7 linked regions of the Mus musculus genome follow. The protein of the gene in region 1 purifies or fractionates together with the protein of each later gene. This does not show direct contact. Links are inferred from orthologs where the notes say so. Each region holds a gene or a part of one and is shown in the gene's direction. Other genes may lie near its edges. The genes, in order: Cdc26, Anapc1, Anapc13, Anapc16, Anapc7, Anapc4 and Anapc2.

The links.
Region 2: the proteins of Cdc26 (region 1) and Anapc1 purify together in Homo sapiens (co-immunoprecipitation; 6 studies listed by BioGRID and IntAct, with this or other methods). This does not show direct contact. The link is inferred for Mus musculus from reciprocal best matches to the Homo sapiens genes CDC26 and ANAPC1.
Region 3: the proteins of Cdc26 (region 1) and Anapc13 purify together in Homo sapiens (affinity purification with mass spectrometry; 4 studies listed by BioGRID and IntAct, counting the BioPlex papers as one, with this or other methods). This does not show direct contact. The link is inferred for Mus musculus from reciprocal best matches to the Homo sapiens genes CDC26 and ANAPC13.
Region 4: the proteins of Cdc26 (region 1) and Anapc16 purify together in Homo sapiens (co-immunoprecipitation; 5 studies listed by BioGRID and IntAct, with this or other methods). This does not show direct contact. The link is inferred for Mus musculus from reciprocal best matches to the Homo sapiens genes CDC26 and ANAPC16.
Region 5: the proteins of Cdc26 (region 1) and Anapc7 purify together in Homo sapiens (affinity purification with mass spectrometry; 5 studies listed by BioGRID and IntAct, with this or other methods). This does not show direct contact. The link is inferred for Mus musculus from reciprocal best matches to the Homo sapiens genes CDC26 and ANAPC7.
Region 6: the proteins of Cdc26 (region 1) and Anapc4 purify together in Homo sapiens (affinity purification with mass spectrometry; 11 studies listed by BioGRID and IntAct, with this or other methods). This does not show direct contact. The link is inferred for Mus musculus from reciprocal best matches to the Homo sapiens genes CDC26 and ANAPC4.
Region 7: the proteins of Cdc26 (region 1) and Anapc2 purify together in Homo sapiens (co-immunoprecipitation; 7 studies listed by BioGRID and IntAct, with this or other methods). This does not show direct contact. The link is inferred for Mus musculus from reciprocal best matches to the Homo sapiens genes CDC26 and ANAPC2.

What each region holds. Positions count from the first base shown.
Region 1 is NC_000070.6:62,405,571-62,410,027, reverse strand, and holds the start of Cdc26 (anaphase-promoting complex subunit CDC26), read left to right. Parts: upstream 1-1,402; 5' UTR 1,403-1,476; intron 1,477-4,457. Other genes in the region: Prpf4 (U4/U6 small nuclear ribonucleoprotein Prp4), read right to left, coding at 276-453, 1,127-1,153. UniProt on the Homo sapiens protein: Component of the anaphase promoting complex/cyclosome (APC/C), a cell cycle-regulated E3 ubiquitin ligase that controls progression through mitosis and the G1 phase of the cell cycle.
Region 2 is NC_000068.7:128,663,125-128,666,934, reverse strand, and holds part of Anapc1 (anaphase-promoting complex subunit 1), read left to right. Parts: intron 1-229; coding exon 230-370; intron 371-1,426; coding exon 1,427-1,487; intron 1,488-2,872; coding exon 2,873-3,060; intron 3,061-3,810. UniProt on the Homo sapiens protein: Component of the anaphase promoting complex/cyclosome (APC/C), a cell cycle-regulated E3 ubiquitin ligase that controls progression through mitosis and the G1 phase of the cell cycle.
Region 3 is NC_000075.6:102,624,815-102,629,095, forward strand, and holds the start of Anapc13 (anaphase-promoting complex subunit 13), read left to right. Parts: upstream 1-1,481; 5' UTR 1,482-1,532; exon of another isoform or gene 1,533-1,750; intron 1,751-1,785; exon of another isoform or gene 1,786-1,873; intron 1,874-1,912; exon of another isoform or gene 1,913-2,104; intron 2,105-4,281. UniProt on the Homo sapiens protein: Component of the anaphase promoting complex/cyclosome (APC/C), a cell cycle-regulated E3 ubiquitin ligase that controls progression through mitosis and the G1 phase of the cell cycle.
Region 4 is NC_000076.6:59,993,099-59,996,908, reverse strand, and holds part of Anapc16 (anaphase-promoting complex subunit 16), read left to right. Parts: intron 1-294; coding exon of another isoform or gene 295-319; coding exon 320-461; intron 462-3,810. UniProt on the Homo sapiens protein: Component of the anaphase promoting complex/cyclosome (APC/C), a cell cycle-regulated E3 ubiquitin ligase that controls progression through mitosis and the G1 phase of the cell cycle.
Region 5 is NC_000071.6:122,425,250-122,429,059, forward strand, and holds part of Anapc7 (anaphase-promoting complex subunit 7), read left to right. Parts: intron 1-2,881; coding exon 2,882-3,068; intron 3,069-3,810. UniProt on the Homo sapiens protein: Component of the anaphase promoting complex/cyclosome (APC/C), a cell cycle-regulated E3 ubiquitin ligase that controls progression through mitosis and the G1 phase of the cell cycle.
Region 6 is NC_000071.6:52,857,932-52,861,741, forward strand, and holds part of Anapc4 (anaphase-promoting complex subunit 4), read left to right. Parts: intron 1-1,181; coding exon 1,182-1,275; intron 1,276-3,311; coding exon 3,312-3,409; intron 3,410-3,810. UniProt on the Homo sapiens protein: Component of the anaphase promoting complex/cyclosome (APC/C), a cell cycle-regulated E3 ubiquitin ligase that controls progression through mitosis and the G1 phase of the cell cycle.
Region 7 is NC_000068.7:25,282,177-25,286,437, forward strand, and holds the end of Anapc2 (anaphase-promoting complex subunit 2), read left to right. Parts: intron 1-2,385; coding exon 2,386-2,515; intron 2,516-2,760; coding exon 2,761-2,996; intron 2,997-3,074; coding exon 3,075-3,287; 3' UTR 3,288-3,740; downstream 3,741-4,261. UniProt on the Homo sapiens protein: Together with the RING-H2 protein ANAPC11, constitutes the catalytic component of the anaphase promoting complex/cyclosome (APC/C), a cell cycle-regulated E3 ubiquitin ligase that controls progression through mitosis and the G1 phase of the cell cycle.

The sequences.
Region 1 (4,457 bases):
TGGCCTATAAACCTAATACTATGTGGTTTGGGAAGGTGTTCATCAGAATATTGAATCATCAAAAGTACATGGTGGCGACCAGGAAGGAGGCAGGAGGAGTTTGAGGTCAAAGGTAAGAGACTGTGGGGGGTGGGGGGAGATGGAAATGTATGGCTCAGTGGCAGAACAGTTGCCTAGCATGCAAAAAAAAAAAAAAAAAAACCCGGGTTGGATTCCCAGCACTGTTTAAAAAAGGGTGTGTGTGTGGGGGTAATGACCTGCAATTTGCATCTTACCGGATGTTATATTAATATTTCCTGCTTCAATGCCGGCTTTGAGTCCTTCTTTTCCCAAAATCCCAGACTCTCCTTTGGCCAGGCGTTCCCGCTCTTTCTCTTCCAAGCTTCCATAGTAGATGTGTGGTTTCTTCACAACGGGAGCAACTAAATCGTCAGGCGCTTTGGTTTTGGTTGTCTGTTAAATCAAAGACCCGGACTAAGGTTTAGTTCCAGCAAACCATGCTTCCCAAAAGAATGAAGCTAACGCTGCACTTTCATCTTCTTTCCTCTCAAAACTAGAGGAGAAAGTCGAAACTGACTTTGTGCGAGTTAAGGCTCTTGTTAAGTTTGGCACACAAATACGACCAATCAATTTCTGCCTGAAGTGTCTTGGTTGTTTTGGGGCCCGTTACTTTAATCGACTGGAAAAGCAATCTCCGGTTTTACGAAAATAACTTCTCACTGCTGGGCAGACACTAAAAACAACCTAAACAATCAGGGTGGCTCTAGGTGCACCAAGTCACGATGTGACTGGAATACACATTTCAAATACTTTCAGAGCCGATTACAAGTTGGGAAGCCTCATCATAGTAAGTACGAGTCGGACAGCTTAAGTCAGGACACAACCCGATTCCAAAGCACCGTGTTTTGGAGCAGCCAGAAAGAGTGGTCTCTGCTCAGGACTTAAGTAAGAGCAGTGCAAAGAGAGCTGCAGCACACGAAGACATCAGGAAAAGGCTACTAAGGTCCACACTAGGGTCCCTCAGCTTTCCTCCTCCTCGGCCCAGACCCGTAAGGTAACGGCCCTTTCCCACGGGAACCCCCGGCCTCTCTAGGGCAGGCCTGAGCTTAGATCCAGAGCTCCGTACCGTGGAGGAGGCTCGTGAGGAGGCCATGCCGGGCGGCGGAGACGCGAGGCCCTAGCCAAATCCGCGTTCTACTTTTCAGACCGGGAACCGCGCGCCTAGCAAAGTGGAAGTGCGTCACTGGCCGGAAACGTATCAGAAACGTACTACGTGCGAAGTATCTTGGGAATGGTAGTTGCCAAAGGTCGGCTGGAGTCGAGGGGCGTGGCCTTACAGAGCTACACAACCTCGCGGGAGAAGAGGAGCATGGGAAGAGAGGCGCAGAGCAGCCTGGGAGGTGTAGTTTGGGCTGCGCAGCAATGGAGTCATGGTGGGAGTTGAGGTTCTGGGGAACTGCAGAGGCCTGAAAAGAGGTAGGTTTGCGGATCGCAACCATAATCTGGAACAAAACGAGGGTCTCTGTTATCCTTCGGGAGGCCTTCCGCCATTTCGAAGCTGAGGCCTGTGTTGCCATGGAAATCTCTCCCTAGACTTCTGCAGCCTTGGAGCTGGGAAAGAGGACTGTTGTCCACGACGGAAGTCCTTCGGGGGCCCCTCGTAACTCGGTGGCTACGTAATCAGTTTGGGCTTCAAGAAGATATTAAACTCTAAGACCTTCTAAGGCTAAAATAGAGATGTGGTGGAGGAGCTGCGGCCTAGTTTGTTGTGGGTTTACTTGTCTACAGCCTATTCTTTGTCTGTGTTCTTTGAAATAAAGGGTCCATGAAGGCTCCAGATAAAGAGCATATCAGCAGTAGTAGCTCCAATGAATGTTAGGCCATCAGAGATAAGGTTTTTTTTAAAAAAAAAATCCTTACATGAAAGTTGTGGGGGTTACAAAAATATGCGCGTTTGCCGAGCTGAACAGACTCACTTCCACACTCAAGGCCCTGCCCCGAACAACTCCAATTAGAAGAGCACTTCCTTTTCGAGGACTTACTAATGCCGAGTTACGCGCAACGAGCTTATTCTGTTTTAGTCATCTCAGTCACGGACAAGAGTACAAGCCCGAAAAAAACCAAAAAACATTCTGGTGAGAAAAGGTCGTTCTGGAGCCGTAGTAGTAGAATTAGTAACGTGGCAGGTCGCGAGCCGCCGAGCCGCGCTTTTAACTCGTACTCATTATTGCTCTCTAGTGGTGAGGCTTTCAGAAAGTTCCCTCGCAAGTAGGGAATTATTGTTGTTGTTGTTGTTTTTCTAAGTGTTTCTTCCTTTCCCCCTTGGAGCTGACTTCCATTTCTCTACGTAAGGATCTGGTAGAAAGTAGTATCTGATAGAATAAAGCAGTTTTGAAATGTCACGGGCCAGTGTTTTGATTAGATCACCCCTTGCTGTGCTAAGCCTCCTGAGAGAAGTGTAAATGTTTCCTATACATTGTAGTGTTTTGTTTCGTTCTGGATGCACGCAATAATAATTTCTATGAATGCACACTATAGCAAAACTTTCATGTAGATCACTATCATTTAGCTTTTTATTTTAGTGGTCTAAGTGTAACTTTGTTTTTTTTTTTTTTTTTAAATTATTTATTATATGTAAGTACACTAGCTGTCTTCAGACACTCCAGAAGAGGGCGCCAGATCTTGTTACGGATGGTTGTGAGCCACCATGTGGTTGCTGGGAATTGAACTCAGGACCTCTGGAAGAGCAGTCAATGCTCTTAACCACTGAGCCATCTCTCCAGCCCCTATGTGTAACTTTTATAGAATGCTGATTTAGCTTTTTTTTTGTTTTGTTTTGTTTTTTGTTTTTCTTTTTTTTGCTCAGGCCCCGCTCTCCCTGCTTGCTCCAGCCCAAAGATTTATTTATTTATTATATGTAAGTACACTGTAGCTGTCTTCAGACACACCAGAAGAGGGTGTCAGATCTCATTACGGATGGTTGTGAGCCACTATGTGGTTGCTGGATTTGAACTCAGGATATCTGGAAGAGCAATCAGTGCTCATAACTGCTGAGCCATCTCTCCAGCCCACATTTTTTGTTTTTCAAGAAGGGTTTCTCTGTGTAGCCCTGGCTGTCCTGGAACATGTTCTGTAGACCAGGCTGACCTCAAACTTACAGACATCCTCCTGCCTCTGACTTCAGAGTGCTGGGATTAAAGGTGTGTGTCACTACTGCCCGGCTTCTGATATTAACTAAACTGTTTGCTTCAACTTTATAAAACTGGAATAATTTTTCAAGTTTCCCAAGGTGTCTGTATTAAAATAATACAAAGAATGCGAATGTGGGACGGTTTAGTGGGTAAAGGAACCTGTGCTAAGTGTGATGCCCCACATGGTAGAAGGAGAGAACTGACCCCAGATGTTGTCCTCTGACCGATGCTTGTGAATTGTGTGCTTTCACCAACACCCAATACATAATTAAATAATTTTTTTAAGAGGCAAAAATTTTTAGTTACTAAAGTGAAAAAAAAAAACCCAATAATGGTAGAGTCTAGAACTTAAGAAAAGTTAGTGTAGGGTTGTGGGTCTTGAGTCTGCTCTGCAGCTTGGGGAGGCAGGACACAGGGAGTTTGACTGCACTTACCTCATGCCAGCTCAGGGCTGGTGCTGGGCCATAGGGAAGCCCCAGGACATTGCTGGTGGGAAAGCGGGCAGTCTGAGGCATGGAACAGTGGGAGCTGGTTTGGGGGTCTGCCTGCTTGTGATGAGGCTGGGGTGGTCGGTTCTCAGGCTTTCCAACATCCAGGCCCCGCTGGGAGCCCCAGAAGAGCTGAGAATGGAGTGGGGGAGCAGCTGGCTGGCTGTGTGTGGTGGGGGGAAGGGGAACAATGGCTGGTCACACGGGGAGAGTCCTTGGCTTGACTGCAGGCTTGGGCTTGGGCTTGGTGGGCAGTGGTGGCTGGGAGTGCAGAAAGGCCTTCTACAGGACTAGACAGTGGCTCTATAGTCGAAGGCCTTCTCCATGGCTCCCCATGGTGGATCCCGATGAAAAGAGGCAGTCCATAGTAGTAAGGCATTTATTGTCATAGAGGAAAGTGGATGTATAAAATCATGCCCCCACTTCTCAGGGTGGGCCTGAGGTTAAATACATTTTGCAGGGAGGAGTGTCTGGGAAGGAAAGCTTATTGCTTATGCCCTCCAGGCCTTTAGGCAACTCATTAGAATGGAGATCTGGCTTGATCCTATGGTGGTCACGTTTCTTTTCCTCTTGTCTTGGTCTGAGATGTTAGTGATGCCTCATCTATGTTGGGGGTGGGGGGCTTGGGGCATTGCCCTTACATGACTGATGGCCACAAATCTATGGGGGACTGCAGTTAGTGACAGGGGCCTGGTGCCTGGGAGCAGGCGAAGGTCCTACCTACCATCTCTTCAGGGTCCCCAGGGCTTCAAAGCCTTTTTAGCTCAACTGAGGACCA
Region 2 (3,810 bases), on another chromosome or scaffold:
CACCAGACTGGAAAGCCTGGTGACAAGTGGTCTACATTTGAAGGATGTCATAATGTGATATGTATGCATGCTGTCAGTCAGATGCTTTTTCTGTGAAGAACTTGGTCTGCTGCAGGGCTGTCATTATTGGAACAGAATGATCGGAATCATCAAACCATATGCAAGAATACAGCTCCTTGTCTTTAATCTCAAAGTCTTTTCATCTGTGTTGTATTGTGACTTTTTATAGGTGGTTCTGTTGTCTCCAGTTCCAGAATTGAGGGATTCTTCAAAACTTAATGATTCTCTCTACAATGAGGATTGCACATTCCAGCAGCTTGGAACTTACATTCATTCTGTGCGAGACCCTGTTCATAACAGAGTCACTCTAGTAAGTCCTCCTCCAGAGGGTGGAGCAGCTGACTGATCCTCCAGAGGGTGGAGCAGCTGGCTAAGGGTTATTTGTCTGATAGTTCACATTTGGCAGGATGTAAAATTATGTGTGGAAATGAAAACGAACATTTCTCATGATTTTAAACATTTATTGTTCTATGATGTGCATATGTGTGTGGGTATGCATTCATGTATATGTGTGTGCATATGTGTGTGGGTATGCATTCATGTGTTTATGACATGAATGGCCACAACTTTGGAGTTGGTTCTCTGCTTCCATCTTCATGTGAGCTGTAAGAAATGAATGCAGGGTGCCAGGCTTTAACTGCTGAGTTACTTTGTCTTTCAGATATCTTGACATTTTTAAAACATGCTATTATTTTGTACTATTTTACTTTAATTCTGTTTTCTGAGATTTCTATATTAAACATTTACTGAACCCAACCCCAGTTGAGGAGCTGTTGGGAATGGATGGTTTCTGGGGGAGGGAAGGTCAGTTTCCTTAAAGGATATGACCCTGGTAGGATGACCACCCATCCATCAGTGGATTCTTCCACATCTGAGAGTTTATGGGTAGCATAAATTGGGCTTGATGGGTTGTTAAGAAGAAGGAGAGAGGACAGGAAGTTGGGGGTTGGGAAATAGGATCTGCGAGGAGTTGGGGGTGACTATGATAAAAGGACATTATATGAAATTCTCAAGTAGCTAATAAGAGTATATAACAAGTGTATCTAAAACAAGCACATTTACTCCGTCAGTTCACATTGCTGTGTTTTTGTCTTTTCGGAGAAAATCACTTTTGATGATGTTGGTGTCGTAGTGTTTGGATAAAAGCATTATTAAAAGAATTTTTGAAAGTATTTTACAAAAATGTATATTTAGTTAGAAGCATTCATTCTCATTGAAAAGTATAGCAGTTCATTTTATTGTATTTTGCCTTGACTGGCAGACAGTAGTAAAAATTGCCATTTTTTTTTTTAAAGCTTTTAAAAACTTAGAATGCTTAAGCAGTTGGTTTTTTTGTTTGTTTGTTTGTTTCCATTCTTTTCACTAGGAACTGAGCAATGGCTCCATGGTTCGGATCACTATCCCTGAAGTGGCCACCTCGGAATTAGGTAGGTACTGTGCAGTCTCAGTTTGTTTACCACACTGTTGATGGGGACAGTTTCTGGTCTCAGTTTGTTTACCACACTGTTGATGGGAACAGTTTCTGGTCTCTTTTTTGTTGTTGTTGTTGTTGTCTGAATGCAGTACCTGTGGAGGCCAGAAGAGGCTGTCAGGTCCCCTCAGACTAGAGTTAAGAATGGTTGTGAGTTGCTATATGGGTGCTAGAAATTGAACCCAGGTTCTCTACAAGAGCAGCCTGGGCTCTCGACTGCTGAACCAACTCTCCACCCTGCGGTTTCTGTTTGTAGAAGTGAGTCCTTTGCAACATCTGGTTTATTCTTGTTTGTTTTCAGCTAAAGCATGCCGTTTTGGTTTTCTAAGATTTATAGTCTAGGCTTCTAGGCTTCTCAGTGTCTGCTCATTCATTTGATTGATGAGGCTGTGCTGCTAAAGATGGCGTCAGTGACAGTGGTGGTGTGGAGGGAACAAGAAGGAAAACTTGGACTGTCTGGAGCCATTTTGTCCCAATAGTGAATCTGCTGTTTACAGCAGGCAGTCCCCTTGGCTCTCTTCACTGTAGCTGATTTTCACACCAATGATGTGCCATAACTAAGAGCAGTATATATTAGATAGTGTTCGCCCTAACCTACTTATGGCATGGTGAGGAAGACAGTGTAGAAATTACGAGTTGCAGTGTTAGTTGACAGGAATGTTCACTCATTGAGAATAGCTTGTAGCATCCCTAAGCATTCCTGTTAGTAGGTGCCTGTGCTGCATGTTGAATCTACTGAAGGATTTAATCCACATTTTATATAAATTTATTTGTGTAGAAATTAGATTTTTGTTGTTGTTGTTGTTAGTTTTTTGGTTTTTTCGAGACAGGGTTTCTCTGTGTAGCCCTGGCTGTCCTGGAAGTCACTCTACAGACCAGGCTGGCCTCGAACTCAGAAATCTGCCTGCCTCTGCCTCTGTGCTGGGATTAAAGGCGTGCGCCACCACGCCCGGCTTTGTTTTCTTTTCTTTTTTTTTTTTTTGAAATTAGATATTTTTTATGAAGTAAGCTTGATTGTTCAAAGTAGGACAGTTTTGAGAGTGAAAAGGGAACAGTTATTTCCTGGAGCAGTGGTTATTTCTGGTGAACTGGGCTATATGCTCACTTTATTTCTAGTCCCGAATTAGGGATCTGACAGCTAATCTTCAGATTTTCTGTGAGCCCTGTTGAATTCAGTAGTTAGTTTAACGTGATTGATAATGTTGAGGTAATGTTTGTGCCCAGTGTCCTTAGTGATAGTTTCTGTTTTTCCTGGCTGGCCTGGACATGGTAGCAATTTGAACCTTCCCATTTGAAAGGAGGCAGGCAGTACATACTAAAATCAGTATTTGCTTTTAATAGTACAAACGTGTCTGCAAGCAATTAAGTTCATCCTGCCAAAAGAAGTAGCCATTCAGGTGCTCGTCAAGTGGTACAATGTGCACAGTGCTCCAGGAGGACCCAGCTGTCACTCAGAGTGGAGTTTATTTGTGATTTGTCTCTTGAACATGATGGGTTATAACACAGACCGCTTAGCATGGACCCGAAGTGTAAGTAACTACAGTTGTTTTCTTCATTATCCTGTTAGAAATGCAGTGCTTGTATAACTGGCTATATAACTGAGAGAACCTGACAAACTTAATAATAGGTAAGCCTTAGAATATGTCGGGATAATACTAAGGCCTGTTGTCCTATATAGCATGAATCAAATACTTAGTAGGTTTTGAGTCTTTATTTAAAAATCTGTTTAAGCACAATTTACCTTTTTTTCTTTTCTTTTTGTCTTTTTTAAAGTCAAGGTCTTGCTGTGTACGTAGCCCAGGCTGGTCTTGAATTCACCACATTCCCCACTTTGCCTTCCAAGCTGGGATTGCAGTTGTGTGTTACTGCTGCCTGATTTTGACTGTTTCTCAGTTATCTTTGTAAAACGACGTAACTAGACCTCTTGGTTTTGTTGGTAGGCGAAGCAGCGAGGTCTCAGACTTAGCTTTAGAACGCTGGTAGCGGTGTAAAGCCCAGCCTTCTGTCCGTCATTCTGCAGGAGGTGCAAATGGTTTATGATGCACCAGCGGATGCCTTCAGGGTGGGGGTGCCTGACCGTTCTCCAGTTACTCAGCGTGGGGCTCGGAAGACGTTGCTATGGATTACTTAGCTCTTTGTCCCCCAAACTCAGACCTATTCACCTATGTGTTTTCATCTTGTGTTAGTACTGCCATTTTTTTAAAAGCTTTTTCTTCTTCATTATGAAAGTTATTTTTTTCACTGAGGAAGAGTTGGAAAATGGAAGAAGCAAGCGATTA
Region 3 (4,281 bases), on another chromosome or scaffold:
GCAGCATGATTAACAATATCTCCATTGTTTCTGAAACTTCAGCATATACACATTTTAAAGGGACATGTGTCTGTGGTTTAAGTCTCTAACCCTCTTTAGTTTCGCAGCCTCCTTTACTATACTGACCACTGAGGACGACACAGTAAAAGACAGAGAGCACGGGACAAAAATTAACCTAAAAATGGCGCTGCATTCCAAATAAGATAATTCGTTTCATCATATCGTTAAGCTGCAGCCTTTAAGAATAAGTGTAAAAGCCGGGCGTGGTGGCGCACGCCTTTAATCCCAGCACTCGGGAGGCAGAGGCAGGCGGATTTCTGAGTTCGAGGACAGCCTGGTCTACAGAGTGAGTTCCAGAACAGCCAGGGCTACACAGAGAAACCCTGTCTCGAAAAACAAAACAAAAAAAAAAAGTGTAAAAAGCTAAAGATAACTATAGCCATTGATCTCTGACTTACATACAAAATATAAAATACAAATATTCGAGTTGTACAAAGAGCTATAATAAAGTAATACATTTTTGAAACTCTAAATTGGCCTCAAGAAAGCCAGGCGAGGTGGCGCGGATCCTTAATTAGGAGACATAGGTAGGCCCATCTCTGAGTTTGAGGCCAGCCTGGTCTACACTGCAAGTTCCAGATCATAGCTACAAAGGAGAGCCAGCGCTAGTTGGGGAGAATGGGGAGCACTTTTGGCAACAAGTCTACAGTCTGTAAATGAAAACTAGGTCTGACATCAGAATGCACTAACTCCACGATTTTGTAAAGGACAAAAGCCCATTCACTGTCAAGTGTCTCCGCGTGAAAGCGCTGTTGTGGAATTCCCCTTTCCAAACTTTCACTCCACCAATCTTGTTTCCTATGCTTGACTTGAAAGCGTGAAGCCATCTGCAATTCCCCTGCCATCAGGGGTTCCCGCCACATTTCCGCACCTCTCATACTAACATCACCAAGGAACCCTGCGGGCTTCCCGCTGGGCGGCTAACGCTAAGGCCTGGTCCTACACCGGCGGCAGCAGCAGCAGCCGGGTCCCTTCCCGGGAGCCATGCAGCCCACAGCCCGCAGCCCGCCCTCCCGCAGGCCGAAGCACCTGGCCGGCCAGCCCAGAGTCCCATAGGGAGGAGGAGGAACCCAGGGGCGCGACGACCGGGCAGCCGCAACCCGGCATTGGAAAGCCCCGCGGCAGGTGGGCCGCAACGAGCTGCGGCCGCGGGCCATGAGGCCTGGAGCCTAGCGGCACCACCGTGGCCAGGGCCGAGACCGCACCACAGTTAGCCGCAGCTCGCCCGTCTTTGGGGCATGCGGTCGGTTACAGAGCGCGCCCCCGGCAGAGCGCGCCTCCGGCGGAGCGCGCCCCCGGGCCTGCCCGCCGTTCCTCCGGCCGGGGATGCGCGCAAGTCACAACAAATCGCTGTCCGTCCCGCCCCCTGCCGCAGCGCTTGGACTCACCCACATCCGGGGCTTGAGAGCGCCGCGAGTCACGTGACCCAGAAGAAGGGCGGGGCCGGGAGGAAGCCGACGCGCGCGCAGTGGGTAAGGGTTTTTCGCGCCCGCGGCCCGGGTTTCCGAGGGTGGCCAAGCGTTCGCCCTCGAACTCCGGCGTCTACCGCTTCCAGAGGCGCGGGCCGGTACTTTCAACCGAGCTTCAGAGCCACTTCTTTACTGCACGCTGTGCGGAGTGGAACGGAGCCCCCATGGCGACGCTCGACCTCCCCCCTTGCACTTCCGCATGTAGTATCCTCCCACCCCTCGAACCGGAAGTCGCTGCAGCGGGTGACTGTAGTGTCCCAGGATGGTGGCCTCCGAGGGCCATTTTAGTGTAGGCGCCGTGCTCGTAGCTTAGAAATACATTTACAAAGCTGTGTGCATGAAAGGTGTGTATGTCTCATAGGACGTACGCATCTAATGTCTAGAAAGAGATATCCGGGCAATGTGACAAGCTTTCCTCCTGTTGTCACGTATTGTGCCCAGAGATCTAGGGGACTGGTGAAGGAATGGACCCTTGGGACTGCACTCAGCCTGGGGTCTAAAGGAAACAATCTGAGAGCTGAGAGTTTGATATTATCTGGTATCCGGAGCGGGGGAACTTTCTGTTTACGTAAAGGGTGAGCACCCGAGCACCTGACCCAGGAAAATAGATGTGTTTGGAAGGACGGCCAAGCATAAGTGATGAGGGACGGGGGTGGGTGAAAAGCGTGCTAGTTTCTAAGCATGTAGAAGAGAGTCATGTTACAAAGTATTGAGGCGAACTTGTGGAAAGACTGGGTATCCTTACATTACCGCTGGAGACAGTAGTACCCTGCCAGTCAGTCACAAAGCTGACCTGACTTGTTTCATAGATCATTTGAGGCAAGCAGCAAAGCATTCAAGGACAGAGCCTGCTGAAAAGCTGGAGAGAAAGTCAGAGCACTTTAGAAAAAGGTGCAATCCATAGGGACTGGGAAAGTCAGCACCAGAAGGTGTGAAATGCAGCCCAAGGCTCAGCTACAAAAACAAAAGGCTTGTCAAACCCTGAGGGGTGATTAGAAGTGGCCCTTCAGCTGGCTTTGCGTTATCCACTAGCTAGGGTCTGGTTATGTCTGAGGAAAACTGCTAAGTTATCACCTGGTTTTAACGTGGCAGAGGGAGCTTCAGTGTGTGTGTGTGTGTATACGCGTACACGAAAGTTGTGGTGGTGGGGGAGATTTCTGCGTACAGGTGGAGTTGTAGATGAGTGTAGAGGCCAGAGGTCAACATCAGTGTCTTCCTTTATTACTTTGAATCTTAAACCTGGAGCTTTCTGATTCAGTTAAACTGCCTGGCCTGGCAGCTTCCCAGAGAACACAAGTGTGCCATCGTGCCAGGCTTTTTCTGCGGGTGCCAGGAATCTGAATTCAGGTCTTTTTGCTTGCACAGCAAGCACTTCACTCCACTGAACCTCCTCCCAGGCCCCAGGTTGTTTAATTTTTTAAAGTAAAAAGCCCTTTCCCTCCTACAGACTAGGTAGATAGCGCTAGCTTGCTTGCCTTTATTCTGTTGGAGGCAAGCACATAGCCGCGTAGCACAGTTTGTTTCTTGTATGAGTCTCCCTTCTCTCGGAAACAGAACAGTTCCTGAGAGAGCCACTGGTACTAATCCTCACAAGACCTTTCCTTGGGTTGCCACTTTGTGGCAGGGAGCACAGTAGGGTGTGTTTGTGATAAGGAACAAACTTGGAAGCCAGAAACCCAAAAGCACTGCTTGATGACTGAGTTAGACTGCAACAGTTTCAGGAGAAAAATGTGGAACAATCTGTGGTCTGGGAGCTTAGCAAGCATCCTGAGCACTTGGACCAGGCACTGAAGAGAGCCAGCAAGATGGTTTAGTGGCTTAAAGGCGCTTGCTGCCAAGCCTGGCAACCTGAGTACAATCTCTGGGACCCGCCTGGTGGAAGAAGAGAACCAAAATCCCCAAGTTGTCCTTTGACTTCCACACGAACTTACACATATACATTGTTTCTTTCAAGAAGGAAGTAGGCTGGGTGTTGGGATCACAGCACAAAAGTTCTTGCACCCTCACATATCCAGGGAGGCCGAGATGTTAAGCATGCAGGATTGTTCTTCCAATGTGAGAGATATAAAACTTGTTCAGTCCACAAAGCTGGGAATTGGAAGTGATTGACAGCCTGGTGATCTGCGTTATCTGTTGGGCCAGGCCACATCAACCTACAACCAGGACCGAGGGTGGCTAGTAATTTAAATGACCCTGATAAGCAGGGGTTCCCTAAGCTCCAGAAGTAGCTAAGAGACCAGATGATGTCTATGTTATTGTATGACCTTCCTTAGACCCTTAAGCTAGTACAGGTAACCTATCTCTAGAACCCATCGTCTTGGAAGAAATAACATACCCTAAGTCGAGTTTCAATGTAATTGCACCTCCCTGTGCACCAGAAACTGTTATTACACCAGGAAACTTTCTTCCAAATCATACTATGTTTAAGTTTGTTCGGAGTAAACCGCCTAGCATCAGACCCCCCAAGTCTAAGCAAGACTGATAAAGTCAGTCTGAACCCAGTTTTCATTCTCACCTGACAGTTTGCTTCCCTCCCTGGACTCCTGCAGGGCCCCCTCAGCTGGGGATGGAGGTCGGTTGGCAGTGTGCTTAACTGTAGTATACACAACACCCTGGTTCTGTAACCAGAGCCGGTGGCACAGGCCTGCAATCCCATTGGTGGAGGCAGGAAGATTGGAAGCTTAAGGCTGCTTTTGGCTATAGAGAGTTTGAGACTCTCAAAAAAACAAACAAAAAGGAGGACGCCCAGAGG
Region 4 (3,810 bases), on another chromosome or scaffold:
TCTTCAGATACACCAGAAGAGGGTGTCAGATCTCATTATGGGTGGTTGTGAACCACCATGTGGTTGCTGGGATTTGAACTCAGGACCTTCAGAAGAGCAATTGGTGCTCTTACCCACTGAGCCATCTCTCCAGCCTGTTTCAAGTGATTTTTAAACATGATTTACTCTAAAACCTAAGTGACATTATAAGACTACCTAAGGCTGGAGGGTAGGGAAAGCTGACCCTACTGGGCCAGAATGAAGTGCGGTCACTCAGGCTTTATAAACTTGCCAATCGCTGTTTCTTTCCTCTAGTGAAGAGAGACTTCTACTGGAGGGAATGGCCGCCTCCTCGTCTTCGTCTTCAGCTGGTGGGGTCAGTGGAAGCTCTGTCACCGGATCTGGTTTCAGTGTGTCCGACCTTGCCCCACCTCGGAAAGCTCTGTTCACCTACCCGAAAGGAGCTGGAGAGATGTTAGAAGGTGATGTCTCTCATGCTGGGTTTCCTTCAGACCTTCAGTTCATGTAGAGTGTAAAGGACCTGGGGCTGGGGGGGGGGGGCTCAGATAGCTCCAAGCCAAAGCCCTTGAGTGACCTGACCAGGGTTGCCACTGGCACCACGTACCCTCTTGGTCTCCTGCAGGTTGCCTCATAACACCTGCTTGATGTATTTTCTCTTTTAGTAAGTATCTACAGATAGACTAATCCCACCAGAGAGGCCTAAAGGGGAAATAAAAGTCAATGTATTTACCTCTGTGAAGGTGACTCTCATGGACCACTGCCGGACATGGCTGTGTGACGGCATGGTTTTTATAGCACTGGAGATAGACTTGGTCTTATCACACAGACTGGCTGGCCAGAACTAGGTCACGGGCAGCAGCCATGAAATGGCATTAGTGACTGGAACGTCTCGGATTCATGTAAACTAGACTGGTAATTCATTGTAGGAGCGTAAGACTCATGTGACACATTTAACTTAAAATGAACATGTCTTGCTGGGCAGATGTATCTCTGAATTCCAAGCCAGCCTCATCTTCATAGTGAGTTCCAGCCAACTAGGGATGTACAATGAGACTCTCTTTTAAGAAAAGAAAAGAAAAAAAAAATTAAATGCACATGTCTGGGCCACTCTACAGATCCTGAATTAGCCTAGGACAGGAAACTGGTTTTTGACCAGTATCTGAGGCCTTCTCATGAAGGAGTCTTCTCATATTTTCAAAATACTGACAAAGAGCCAGGCGTGGTGGCACATTCCTTTAATCCCAGCACTTGGGAGGCAGAGGCAGGCAGATTTCTGAGTTCGAGGCCAGCCTGGTCTACAGAGTGAGTTCTAGAACAGCTAGGGCTATAAAGAGAAACCCTGTCTCAAAAAAACAAAAAAGAAAAAATACTGACAAGGAACCCATTAAGGACTCAAAATTTGCCGGGCGGTGGTGGCGCACGCCTTTAATCCCAGCACTTGGGGGGCAGAGGCAGGCGGATTTCTGAGTTTGAGGCCAGTCTGGTCTACAAAGTGAGTTCCAGGACAGCCAGGACTATACAGAGAAACCCTGTCTTGAAAGAAAAAAAAAAAAAAAAGAAAGAAAAAAGACTCAAAATTCACTGGAGTCAAGCATTTTTGTATTGAATTATAAGATGCTCTTTTTTGCTTTAAATCTTGCATATTTACATGCATATATTTTAAATTAATTGGGTGATATCTCTGAGAAAGGCACAAACTATTCAGGGACTGGCTTTCTAGGGAGATCATTATACATTTATATCAGGTACTTTTAAAAACCCAGTTTCAGGTTAAACTATGCCAAAGCAGTGTTGGGGATTGGATACCCAGTGGCCTCATGCATGGTAGGCAAGCAGGCACTCTTTGACCCGGCTGCATGCCTGGGAGACTCTAGTGCCATAAGGCTCTGGGGTCACTTGCATCTAATTGGTAGAGCAGCCACAGGTGCCGTGTGGTGTGGAAGGCGGTGTGTCAGGCATGTGTACTTTCTGCTTTGCCTTTTTGTTGGTCTCCGTTTGTGTGGATATTCAAGTTGGTATCATCAAGTCTGACTGGAAGTAGAATCTTTGTGTCTGTATTTGGCACTAAAAGTGGATTACAACTGTAGCTCTCTGCAGCAGCGATGTAGTTAAGGAGGCCAGCCACAAAACAAATGGCAAGTTGAAGGCATTTAAATTGCTTAACGAGCTTTATAGAACAGAGAAGAATCCGTGCTTAACACTGCTTCAAGAAAAAAGTGATTCAAGTCCGTCAGAAGCTCATGGTCTAACAGGCCTCTATCTAGACGTTCTCATTACCTCACTGAGGAGTCAATTGGATTCTATCGTATGGTGGATTTACCACGTGTAAATTCATGGTGTAGTTATGGCCTCTCTTAACCAGTTTCCCCAGTAATCTTAAAAGCTGCTTACAATGAAAGACAACTGACTTCGACAAAGCAAGTATCTGACATACTTTTGAATATCAAGAATACAGAAAAGGGGCTGTCTGGTAAAATACAGAAAAGATGGCTCTGCTGGCAAAAGGTACCTGGCACCATGCCTGACCGCCTAAGTATGACTTGTGGCTTTGATGGTGGGAGAAGAGGACTGACTCCCAAAAGTTGTCCTCTGACCTTCCCATGAGGACCCATACATAAGTAATAAATGCCTAGTTAAGAAAATGAAAACACGGGGCTGGTGAGATGGCTCAACAGATAAGAGCACCCGACTGTTCTTCTGAAGGTCCTGAGTTCAATTCCCAGCAACCACATGGTGGCTCACAACCATCCCTAACAAGATCTGGCGCCCTCTTCTGGAGTGTCTGAAGACAGCTACAGTGTACTTACATATAATAAATAAATAAATCTTTAAAAAAAAAAAAAAAAAAAAAAAAAAAAGAAAATGAAAACACCACCATTACCCTCACAGTATCTGCTGGGGCTTGGCTCTGCTTCAGCCTCCTCTCCTACACCACCTCCGACTTCCACACCTGTGCCTCATCTCCATGGATACTGAAGTCAACAGGTGCTCAGTCTCTTCTGTGAAGTGGCATGGTATTTGCATATGAGTTGTGTGTGTCCTTCCATGAAGCACTCCTAAATGTGAGTTGACAGGAATGTCAGATCTCGGGGTGACCCTGTTATAGGTTAATATGCCTGCATCAAAGCCTTTTCTTCTTCGTTGTTGAATTCATTTCGTTTTGAGTCTTGTGTAGTCCAGGCTTGACCTCTGACTCCTTGAGCTTCTTATTCTCCTCCTCCTGCCTCCCAAGTGCTGAGACTACAGACATAGATTATTTATTACTCTGTCTGCTTTATTCCGAGTTGGGGTCCAAGCCCAATGGTGCCAACTGAGCTACATCCCCAGCCCTGTTTTTTTTTTTTTTTTTTTACATTAGTGTAATGGAAGAGGAAAATAGAAACAGAGCACGCTGATGGAAAGCAAGAAACCCCAGTGCTCAGAAGGCTGAGATGGGAGAACTGTTCTGAGTGTGATGATAGCCTGAACTATCTAGAGACTGCCATGCCAGCCTGGGCACAGAGTGAGACTTTATTTTAAAAGGCAGGGGGAGGAGGGCAGGGGCAGCAGAGAGCAAAAGCATTTAAGAATCAAGGTTAGTGGGGCTGAAGAGATGGTTCAGTGGTTAAGCACACTGGCTGCTCTTCCAAAGGTCCTGAGTTCAATTCCCAGCAACATGGTGGCTCACAACCACCTGTAATGGAATCCGATGCCCTCTTCTGGTGTGCATGAAAACAGCACTTGCATATATAAAATAAAGAAATCCTTTAAAAAAAAAAACAAAGGAAGGAAGAAAGAGTCAAGGTTGGGTGTGGGTCATAATCCTAACAG
Region 5 (3,810 bases), on another chromosome or scaffold:
GCCAGCACACCGGTCTTCGTGAAGCTGAGGCTGACCTTGAACCCCTGATCCTCCTGCTCCTACCTTCAAGTTCTGAGATTATGGACTCCATCTATCCCATTTGACTTTTTTTTTTTTTTTTTTTTTTTTGGTTTTTCGAGACAGGGTTTCTCTGTGTAGCCCTGGGTGTCCTGGAACTCACTCTGTAGACCAGGCTGGCCTCAAACTCAGAAAACCACCTGCCTCTGCCCCCCCACCCCCCCACCCCCCCAGTGCTGGGATCAAAGGCGTGTGCCACCACGCCCGGCCCATTTGACTCTTTTGAATGATTTTGTTGTATGTACCTGTACACAGGTTCCTAAGTACACATACATAATAATACAGCTTATTTTTTAAGAAGGTACTATAGATTACCAAATGAAGTCACATTAGGGACTGACTGCGGGACTGACTGCTAATAGACTTGGAATTACTTTGGTTTTTATGTTTATGTGCCTGGTGCATTTGGAGGCCAGAAGAGGGCATCAGATTCCTTGGAGGTGTAAGCTGGAGTTACAAAGAGCTGTAAACTGCCCGATGTATGTGCTGGAATTTAGACTTGGATCCTCTGCAAAATTCCTGTGCTCTTAACTGCTGAGCCCCTCTAACTTCCCTTTTGAGAGAGGGTCATAACTCAGGCTGATGTTGGATTGATTATGTAGCCAAGCATAGCTTTTTCTTTTTTTTTTTAAAGATTTGTTATTTATTATATGTAAGTACACTGTAGCTGTCGTCAGACACCCCAGCAGAAGACATCAGATCTCATTACAGATGGTTGTGAGCCATCATGTGGTAGTTGGGAATTGAACTCAGGACCTCAGGAAGAGCAGTCAGAGCTCTTAACCTCTGAGCCATCTCTCCAGACCCCAAGGATAGCTTTCTGAATGCCTGGTCCTCCTACCTCTGCTTCCATATGCTAGGATTGCAGGAATATATGACCCTACCTGGTAGTGGTACCTAGTTGTTTGGTTTTTTAAAAAAATTGTCTCCCATTTTGTTTGTTTGAGACAGTGTCTATAGTCTTAACTGTTCTGGAACTGGCTACGTAGACCAAGTTGGCTTTGAACTCAAAGATCTTCCTGCTTCTGTCTCCCAAATCTCAGTGAATTAAAGATCTACACCACCACATATGGCTTCCCCTGTGTTTAAAATACTTGGGCCAGGCATGATGGCACACGCCTTTAATCCCAGCACTCAGAAGGCAGAGGCAGGTGGATCTCCGAGTTTGAGGCCAGCCTGGTCTATAGAGTGAGTTCCAGGACAGCCAGAGCTATACAGTAAGACCCTGACTCCAAACAAACAAACAAAGAAACAAGCAAAAAGCCCAAACAAAATAATAATAGCATGAAATAAGTACCTTTTTATAGACTTCCTTGTCTCAGTCTGTTCTTTACCTTTCAGAGGAAAATATATACCATTACTTAATTTGGGAAGGAGTGGGACTGGAGGTATAAACACAAGAGTGGTAACCAGGGTTGCCGATAAGCTGTGGGTGGACTGCTTACCTAACATGCAGAGACCTTGGCTTGGTACCCCATGCAGGACGGAAATAAAGCAGTGTCTCGGCATTAACCTTGCTTATAAGGACTATTGCATCTTTTTGAGGTTAGAGGTTGAAGTTCTGTGATAGGCTTGCCTAGCCTTTGTGAGGCTTTGGGCTCCATCGCGCACACACACACACACACACACACACACAGAGAGAGATAGAGAGAGAGCGCAGAGGACTGTTTGAAGCATGGGATTCCCACACAGTGACTTTAGACACCTGAGAGTCCAGGTGACAGTGTGCTTCTAGTGCTGGCAAGCTTGCTTTGTGTCTGTAGAATTGAACGAGCCTTTAGGGCCTGGGGAGATGAAATGGCGCCATAGTTAAGAGTGTTTGCTGCTCTTGAGGGGACTTGAATTTCTTAGCATGCATGTCAAGTTCCTAGGGGGGTGTGTGTCCAACCTTCTCTTCTGGGCAGCAGCGTGCACCTGTGCACATACGCATATAAATCACAGTAATGACTCTAAGATAGACTAATCCGTTATCACTCTGCCATTCTGGCTTTCCAATTGTGTTCTCTTACTGGCTTTTTTCTTTGGTATTTGAAGTTTGCAGGAGCCTGTTTTGTTGAGTTTCTCAATGAAATAATTCAGAGTGGTAAATTTTCTTTCTAGAGTCTCTAGCTTTTTTGTAATTATTGCTATCCTTTGGCAATATTATCCATAAAATTTGATGTTAACCTAAGATAATAGAGGTGTATGTAAAACAGTACTAAATTAAGAGGTCTTATTGAGTAGGCATAGCGGTCCATTCTGTGACCCATCACTTCCAAGGCAGAAGCAGGAAGATTGCTGTAAGTTCAGGGCTACCTGGACTACAGGTGAGCTGCTGTCTCAAAAAGCCAGAAAAGATGGAAGGATGTAAAAATGGGAAGGAAAGCCTGTGTTCTCCATTTGTTCATTGTATTGATTTATAGGTATCATTAGCTTCTGTAGTAAGAAAACACACATTGTACAAAACCACAATACAGTAAGATAGTGTTTTAGATGTTTTGGCCATATTTGCATGGTGTTCAAATGCTGTGCCTCTCATTAAGCCACTTAAATTTAAGGAATATTTTTTTTTCTTTTTGGTTTTTCGAGACAGGGTTTCTCTGGAACTCACTTTGTAGACCAGGCTGGCCTTGAACTCAGAAATCCGCCTGCCTCTGCCTCCTCAGTGCTGGGATTAAAGGTGTGCACCACCACGCCCGGCTGTATTCATGTTTTTTTGCAAGCTGGCGTGATAGAAGGTTTTTGTGGTAGGCTTAGGTACACCAAGGTGCTCTTTCTAATTTTCAAAATAACCCATGTAGGACTTGTTTCCTTTATGTTCTAGTGAGCTGTTTTCCCCGTCGCAGAAGTACCAGCTCTTGGTGTATCATGCAGACTCTCTGTTTCACGATAAGGAGTACCGCAATGCTGTGAGTAAGTACGCCATGGCTTTACAGCAGAAGAAAGCCTTAAGTAAGACTTCCAAAGTGCGGCCTTCCACTGGGAATTCTGCATCTACTCCACAGAGTCAGGTGAGTAAGAGCAGACTCAGTCACTCAGTCAGTCACTCAGTCAGTCATTTATTGTGTTTTTGGGGGGCAGAGTTTCTCTATGTAGCTTTGGCTGTCTTGGAAGTAGACCAGGCTAGCCTCAAATTCAGAGAGCCACGTGAAAGGGTGGCCACCACCGTCTGACGTGCCTGTGACTGTCTATGTGTATATATTTATTGATTTATTTATTTGGGTTTTTTTTTTATTTATTTACTTGTTAAAGGAAATGTACGTTATTTGTTTTATATATTTAAGTACACTGTCACTATCTTCGGACACACCAGAAGAGGGCATCAAATCCCATTCCAGATGGTTGTGAGCCACCATGTGGTTGCTGGGAATTGAACTCAGAACCTCTGGAAGAGCAGCCAGTGCTCTCAACTGCTGAGCCATCTCCAGCGCGTATACGTATATGTATATGTATGTATGCACATACTAAGAGACAAGATTGAAGTACTTGTTTCAGCACTGAGCTGGTTGGTTATAGAATGAAACAGTTCTATATTCTTTGTTATTATCACATGATATTCCATGGTTCCCGAGTGCTGCTTTTCTTTCATCTTTGTATTAATGAATACTGGGGTTCTCCTGTCCCTCACAGCTGATGCTGCTGGGGTGCTTTGTGTCCTGGTTAGGTGAGCTTGGTCTCTCCAACTCATAGAGATCCCCCTGCCTTTTCCTCCTGAGTGCTACAATTAAACATGTGTGCCACCACTGCCGGGTT
Region 6 (3,810 bases), on another chromosome or scaffold:
TCTTTTATCCATGTGTGGCTTTGAAAAATCTGGTGGTTTTTGTTGTTGTTGGTGGTGGTGGTGGTGGTGGTGGTGGTGGTGGTGGTGGTGGTGGTTTTTGGCAAAGATTGGTTCTGTTAGATTATAGATCTCCTAGGTGTTACTATCTTATTGCAGGTCTGTCCAGAAGGTACACTTTGTTAGTCACTAGCTTAATCAGAGAACTCTTTAATCCTGGGAAGCTGTCAGGCATAGCAGTGGCAGGTGCAGTTTCTTAACTTTTAATTCTTGCTTTAAAGTTTGTTTCTTACTGAGAGCTCTCACAAAGCTTGAAGCTGCCTGCAGTCCCCCTGCTGGGATCATAAGTCTGGACTATCATACCTAGCTGGAAGGTTAAATGTTACATTGGCATGAAATATCTTGGGCTGAGTGACAGGCTTGTTTTATTTTCCAGAAAACATCTTCCTAATATCCAAGATGAATAATTACAGTCTTTCCTCCAGTCACTTTTTCAAGTAAAAATGCAATCCAAATCTTCAAAAGTGTCTTGTCTTAGGTAAAACTAAAATACTTGTGTAAATGCCTCTCCTTAGGGTAACTCTCCTATTTGGTGTGCCACAAAGTGCCATGTGCCTTCTTCCCATTCTGTCACACAGATGTGCAAGATCTGTACTCAGAGGTTGAGATTTAATAAAATAAATAAAGGCTCTTTACAGATAAACAAAACTATGACCATAGTGGCTGGTGTGCCCTTCTCAGCTGGGCAGCTACCTTGATTCGCTTTTCCCACCACCAGTGCAAATGCCAAGAGACCGGTGTTTGGATTGTTACAAATCTGCTGTTGATCTGTTAGATCCCTGGAGTGTCTTGATGACTTGCAGGGGTCTGTGGGCACACTCTTGGAGCAGCTAGTTACATTGCTAGATGGCACTTAATTTATAACTATTTAAAATTTTCTCATGGAAATGAAGCACAAACTTAACCTCAGTTATGGTCTCTATGGTAACCATTCTGACCGTCCAACTGTTTAAAGTTTGTTTTCTTGACATTTAACAGACTTTTGTGTCTTCACTTTTTAAACAGTGGACTTGCAGAAAATTTGTCAGTAAAGCACAAAAGCACAAAAACATTCTAAATAGAAAAAAAGTGATTTGGTGAGCTTTATTCTTTTCTGAATTGCAACGGTCCACTCTTACTTGTAGTATTTGAAAGATGAAGACGACGACCTTGTGTCACCCCCTAACACAGAAGGAAACCAGTGGTATGACTTCCTCCAAAACAGCACCCACCTGAAAGGTACTCATGAACTTCCTCGTAGTTAACTGGGACCAGATCCTTAGTCACCAGTTGACAGTTGAGCTAGAATCCTGCTGAGTGTTGTGGCTCTTATGTCCATTGTCTTTGATTGTGTGAGACAGCACAGTAACAAATGGGGTGTGCTACTCTCATGATGTGTCTAAGACATTGGGATACCAAGTGACATCAGTCAGTCACAATTCCATCCGAGGGTTCTGATGATCACTTCAGTATGACACTAGAGACCTTCAGTGAGTGTCAGACACTGAAGGAGTGAAGGCTCAGTATCCCCACCAGACTGCCCCAAGGCCAGGCCAGGTTGCCTCTGCCTCTGCCTGGCAGTCCACAGGGAGTTTCTATACCTTCCTTTTCTTCCACTTAGAAAAATTCAGGTTTCCTAACTTGCTTACTAAAAAATAAATACAGGACAGTCAAGCAGGAGATTCATGGAGTAGGTACGGAGGAGAAGCCAGAGGTTCTAGGCCCTCACAGCCCTCTGTTCACAAGTCTGGAGTCTCTGCAAGCCTCAGCACATGGGTTTCTTTAATAGTGACTTCATTACATAGATGTGATTGATTACGTCCTTGCAGTTGGTGATTGAACCCCACCTCCACTGCACTCTCTCCTGAGGTTGGCAGATAGAGCTGGAAGGTGAAGCTTCTGATCAAGGTGCCCTCGTCTGAGGCATCCAGGAGCCTCCTTGTTCACTTGGGAAATTCCAAGGGTTGGAGGAGTGGGAAACCAAGATCACATGCCGTTCTCTCATACCATTCTCTGATGCTTAATAGCTGTCTTAGTCAGGGTTTCTATTCCTGTACAAACATCACGACCAAGAAGCAAGTTGGGGAGGAAAGGGTTTATTCAGCTTATACTTCCAAATTCATCACCAAAGGAGGTCAAGCAGGTCAGGAAGCAGGAGCTGATGCAGAGGCCATGGAGGGATGTTACTGGCTTGCTTCCCCTGGCTTGCTCAGCCTGCTTTCTTATAGAACCCAAGACTACCAGCTCAGGGATGGCACCACCCACAATAGGCCCTCCCTGAGTAACCACTATTGAGAAAATGCCTTACAGCTGGATCTAATGGAGGCATTTCCTCAAGGGAGGTTCCTTTCTCTGTGATAACTCCAGCTTGTGTCAGATTGACACACAAAACCAGCCAGTACAGCAGACTAATGTTTAAAATGCATTTTAGCCAGCATACCAGGTGTAAGGTGGTGTGTGTCGGGGTGCCTGCAGAGCCATGGAGAAATGGGCTTCAGAGTCAGACTCAGCACTGAGATCTCTGGGAAGTCATTTTAACACCCGACTGCTATGTGAGCTTGCTAAGCATGTTTTGTTTGCTCTGTAAACTGGAGAATCCAGTGCTTACTTCATAGAGTCGTAAGCAGCACTGACAACAGAAACAGTCTCTCAGGGGTTGGGGTGTAGTTCAGTTAAGAACTGCTTCCATCTTGCAGAAGACCTCATTTTGACTCCCAGCACCCACACTAGAGGTTCACAGCTGCCTGTAAGTCCAGCTCTAGAGGACGTGTTGCAAGCACCAGCACACATGAGGACGTAACTGAAAATAAACACCAAAACAAAAAAACGAATTTCACAGAGCAGCAAGGGGAAAACACTAGTTCTACATCACTTTCTACTGATAAAGTAGCCTTTTAAAGAAGTAAAAAGATATTCGTGTAGAGTAGTTTATTTCTTGTTTCTGTGTTAATGCTATACTCTCAAGGTAGCACTGGATGCCCCTGGTCATCATTCCACAGCAAAGACTAGAGCGGGGTGAGCAGTGCTTCACTACATGCTCGTGGTTCCCCGTGTGCTCCTCCGTTAGACCAGCACGAGTGCACTGGGCCTGGACCACACCAGCTGTCCTGAGGTGGGCTTAGCCGCTGGAATGGGTAGTGATAGGATGCAGATGCTGTGGTCATTCTGAATGAGGTCTATGGAGGTATCATAATTCCACCCTGGGCTACACGGGGCTGGTTCTAACAATGTTTTCTCCTAATTATTGCTTTGCTTCTGTTTTTGTTTGAATCCAGAAAGTCCTTTGCTGTTTCCTTATTACCCTCGAAAATCATTGCATTTTGTGAAAAGGCGGATGGAGAACGTTATTGATCAGTGTTTGCAAAAGCCAGCAGTAAGTCTGAAATGTGGGAGTGAGAAAAACTGCAGTGTCTGGCCCACTTACATAAGTGACCATAGTATATAACTGTTTTTCATTATTAAAACGGGTAGTTTCTTATGGTTCATCTTGTTAATTCCTTACACAGATTTTAAAAGTAGGCTAGTGAAAGTGTTGACGTCTTTAGGGATTTGTTCCAAGAACACTTAGTGTTTTGAAGTTTTATAGTTCCAGAGCTGTTGTGTCTTGTTTTTACTGTTGATTGGCAGGTGTGGAGACGCTACTGAGAAGTGTGTGCCTTCCTGTGCCCCACTGCCAGCTCCTTTAAATCTCAGAATTCTCTCTCTCTTCCTTCCCATTCTGTCACTAAGGATTCTCACCTCAAAGTTTGATGAGAGGGATGTTTTTAAAACCAG
Region 7 (4,261 bases), on another chromosome or scaffold:
AGCTACAGGGGTCCTGGAGGGTCTCAGACCATCAGGTGGCCACTAGAGCAAAGGAATCAGTGTCCCGGGTGCCACCTCAATGAGACACTGCAAAGTACAGGGTTACCAGATTAGAAATGTATTACTGCATTGTATTGCCCCAGAATGCTCTAAGGGAAACGATCCTTCCTGCCTCTTGCAGTAGCCCTGGCAGATCTAAGTAAATGGCCTTTTTCTTTATTTTGTTTTTGTTTTTTTGAGACAGGGTTTCTCTGTGTAGCCCTGGCTGTCTTGGAACTCACTCTATAGACCAGGCTGACCTCCAACTCAGAAATCCGCCTGCCTCTGCCTCCTGAGTGCTGGGATTAAAGGCGTGCGCCACCACTGCCCAGGTGGTAAATGCATATCTTTATGTCCAAGTTTTCTCTATGTCTGTTTCCCTCTTCTTGGGATACTAGTTATATCAGATTAAGGACCCTGGAGATAGGACTTACAGTGTCACTAGAGTCAGTGTCCTGGGCTTTACTTACTATCTCTTTGAAGAGATACAGTTTGGCCCATGGCAGCCTGTGGTTCTAAAACTAATAGTCTTTACATGAGAAAATTAGCCAATATCTCCAAAATTAACCACTTCAGCATCAGTTCTTAAAAATCTCTTCTAATCTAGATGGGTGGTGCCTATCTATGATCCTAGCACTCAGGAGACTAAAGCAGAAGGGTGGTGGTTCATTATATAGCCTAGCTATATAGTGAGGACCCCCCCCAAAAAAAAAAAAACCGTATCCATCTGAAGTAGGTTTCGTCTCCACCTTGATGCTGTGAGGTTGTTTTGATCCAAAGCACATTGTTAAAACAAGCCCAGTTCAGAAGAGGGTGTTCCCAAAGGCAGCAAGAAGGATCATGAGCCTAAAGCAAATCTGAACCACGGAAAGCAGAGTTGACAGTGTGGCTCAGGCCTTGGTGGTGCCCTTGGCTTTCCTGGCAGCCCTGTGTGCACTCTCCTGTACCTCTGTCACTGCATTCAGACTGTCAGCATTGCTGCTGACATAACACCCAAAATCTTGGTGCTTTCCATGAAGTGTACAATATCCAATTTATCAAGTGACTGTGATCCTGAGCCAAGTGTGCTGGTGATGCCTGTCACCCCAGCCTTGGAGGCAGGCACAGCAGCAGCACTGCTAGTTTGAGGCTAGCGTGTTGTATATAACAAGTTTCAAGGCAATTCAGCTATAGAGGAAGGCTCTGTCTTTTATTTAAAAAATGAAGAAAAGAAAGTGAGGGAAGGGGTATGTTCCTGGATATGCTACGTGTTCCGGGTGGATCTACAAATCACACTCATGTCAGCAAACATCTAGCTACAGGCTGGTAGTTCTCTGCCAGCTCCCCCAGTGTCTAGTGTTTGCTCATCGTTTCTATCTGAGCTCTCAGCAGCAGGTCCTCTCAGTGCCCTCATCTCTACCAGCATTATTCTCTATAGTATGGGCAATAGCTCTTATCCTTCCTTGAGCCTTCACCAGCATCATCTGCATCTTCCATGTCGTGCCAGTTAACTGTAGCAACCTAAGGTTTAACCTTCATGTGCTTCCCCATTGTACAAACAACTTCTATATTTTAGGTGTTTTTAGAGCAGTATCCCTACATAGAACCAGAATCATCCTTTTTTTTTTTTTTTTTTTTTCTGTTTTAGACAGGGCTTCTCTGTGTAGCCCTGGCTATTCTGGAACTCACTCTGTAGACCAGGCTGGCCTCGAACTCACAGAGCTCCACCTGCCTCTGCCTCCCAAGTGCTGGGATTAAAGGCATGTGCCATCTATACAGCAGAAGCTTCACTTATTATGACCTTTTTAACAGGGCTACACAGAGAAACCCTGTCTTACAGACAGACAGACAGACAGACAGACAGAAGACAAAGTCACAGGCTGAGTGGTTTTAAACAACAGAAAAATGTTTTAGTTCTGGGAAATAGAAGTCCAGTGTTGGGGTGTTGGCAGGACTGGGCTCCTCCTGTTGCCTCTAAAAAACTACTCTTTTGCTTTCCCAGCTTTTGATATGTCAGCATACTTTATGCCTCTCATAACCACTCCCTTCTGTGCCTTAAGGGCTACCCTACTCCAGGATGACCTCTTCTTAACTAATTACATCTACATTAACTCTCTTTGCAAATAACTCATGTTCCAAGGTACTGAGACATGAGAGGGACACAATTTATCAGCAGTTATATCATGGTTGTTCAGGAGCCAGGGACTCCAATCAGGTCTCCTGGTCTTGCTGTTGACTACCTACCTGCCAGGAATGGCATTGGTGCAAGAGCCATTCCATGCTTGGTAGCATGGCATATGAGCCTATGCCTTGTTCATCTGGACCTGCCTGGAACCCACTGGACTGTTATTGATGATTCCTGCCCAGGCTATGCGGACACTTAGTTGGAAGCACACCCTGGGCCTGGTGACAATGGATGTGGAGCTTGCTGACCGCACCCTGTCTGTTGCGGTGACCCCAGTACAGGCAGTGGTCTTGCTGTATTTCCAGAACCAAGGTGAGTCCCTAGAACCATATCTGCTCTGCTTTGACTACACTACCTTGGGGCTATTGCTATAATCTGATGGGCTATAAGGTAACATGCCAGATTCCCCAGCCCCCAGCAGAGTGTAGGGGTAGCAACCATTCTTTTTACCTATGAGTTACACAGGACAATCCACGTGCGTCTGGGGGTCCAGCTAGCTAACAGGTATTGGAGCAGGTATAATCTTCGGTACCTGCATCCTATGGCTCTGCACACAGCCAGCTGGACCCTGGAGGAACTGAGCAAGGTGGTGAAGATGCCTGTGGCACTGCTTCGAAGACGCATGTCAGTGTGGCTGCAACAGGGTGTGCTGCGGGAGGAACCTCCAGGCACTTTCTCTGTCATTGAGGAAGAGCGGCCTCAGGATAGGGACAACATGGTGCTGATTGACAGTGATGATGAGAGTGACTCAGGCATGGCCTCCCAGGCTGACCAGAAGGAAGAGGAGCTACTGGTACGTTGGCCATTTCCACATTGGGCTGGGGTGGGCCAAATAAGTGGACAACTAACCATGCCTGGCTTCTGTTCCTAGCTCTTCTGGGCATACATCCAGGCCATGTTAACCAACCTAGAGAGCCTCTCTCTGGAGCGTATCTACAGCATGCTCCGGATGTTTGTAATGACTGGCCCTGCGCTGGCTGAGATTGACCTGCAGGAGCTGCAGGGCTACTTGCAGAAGAAGGTCCGAGACCAGCAGCTCATCTATTCTGCAGGTGTCTACCGCCTGCCTAAGAATTCCAACTGATGTTCCCTTTCCAGGCTCTGACTACAGCATTCATGCCTGTGCAACCCCTAGATGGACAGCTTCTATTTCCATGTTCCTGTGCCCAGTCCCTGCCCGTTCCCTGCCTAACACCCACAGAACAAATTAAAGCATATTGGCTCATCCTTTCATGTATTTTGTTGGATCCCATGAATACAAACAGGTTTGCCCTCTATAGCCACCCAACCATAACCCTACAGGGCCTGGATTCCCAGCAGCAGGTAACTGAGCCACCCAAGAAGCCAGGCTTACCCCAGCCTAAGCTTGTATGTTTGGGCAATAGATTACCCTAAAGCTATCTCCTGTAGCCTGTCTTAGAATATGCTGGGACCTGTTTCAGCAAGAGTGAATAGGGTTGGCAGCTCAGAGTCTCCCGAGTTAGACTTTGGCCCCATCCTGCTTTTGTGGCCATTAAAAGGAACTCTTGGTCCTTCACTTGTGTGTGGCATCTGTGGAATCAATGTAAGGCTTTGTGCTGTTAGTACATTTGCACTCGATGAGATCCTCAGGTGAGGCAACCTGAGTCAAGTGCACACCTGTGTCTAGCAGTCAAGGTCAGCCTAAGGACATATGCTGGGGGCCAGGGGCGTATTAGTCCTTTGTCCTCTTTTCTCTACTGGCCACACTTCTTGGAGCTTACAAGTATGTACTCAGACTCTTTCAGGTCCCCCAGAGATGCTGTCAGAAGTACAGGAAGAGGGTGGGGACAAGAAGAGAACCCAGGACACAGTTTAATAATCCTTTTCCTCCAAGATAGGGCTCAGCCACCCTTGTAGGCAGGCTGTGCCCAGACACCTGTTGAGGACAGGTTGGCCTTAAGACAACAGAACCTGGTGGGACACAGCATGGGCCCCTGTGTCCCTGTCCCAGAACAGCTGTTTTCAGTCAGGAAATACTGACCTGAGGTGCCATCCTCAAAGGAAACAAAAGCCCTTTGGAATCATTGCTTACACACC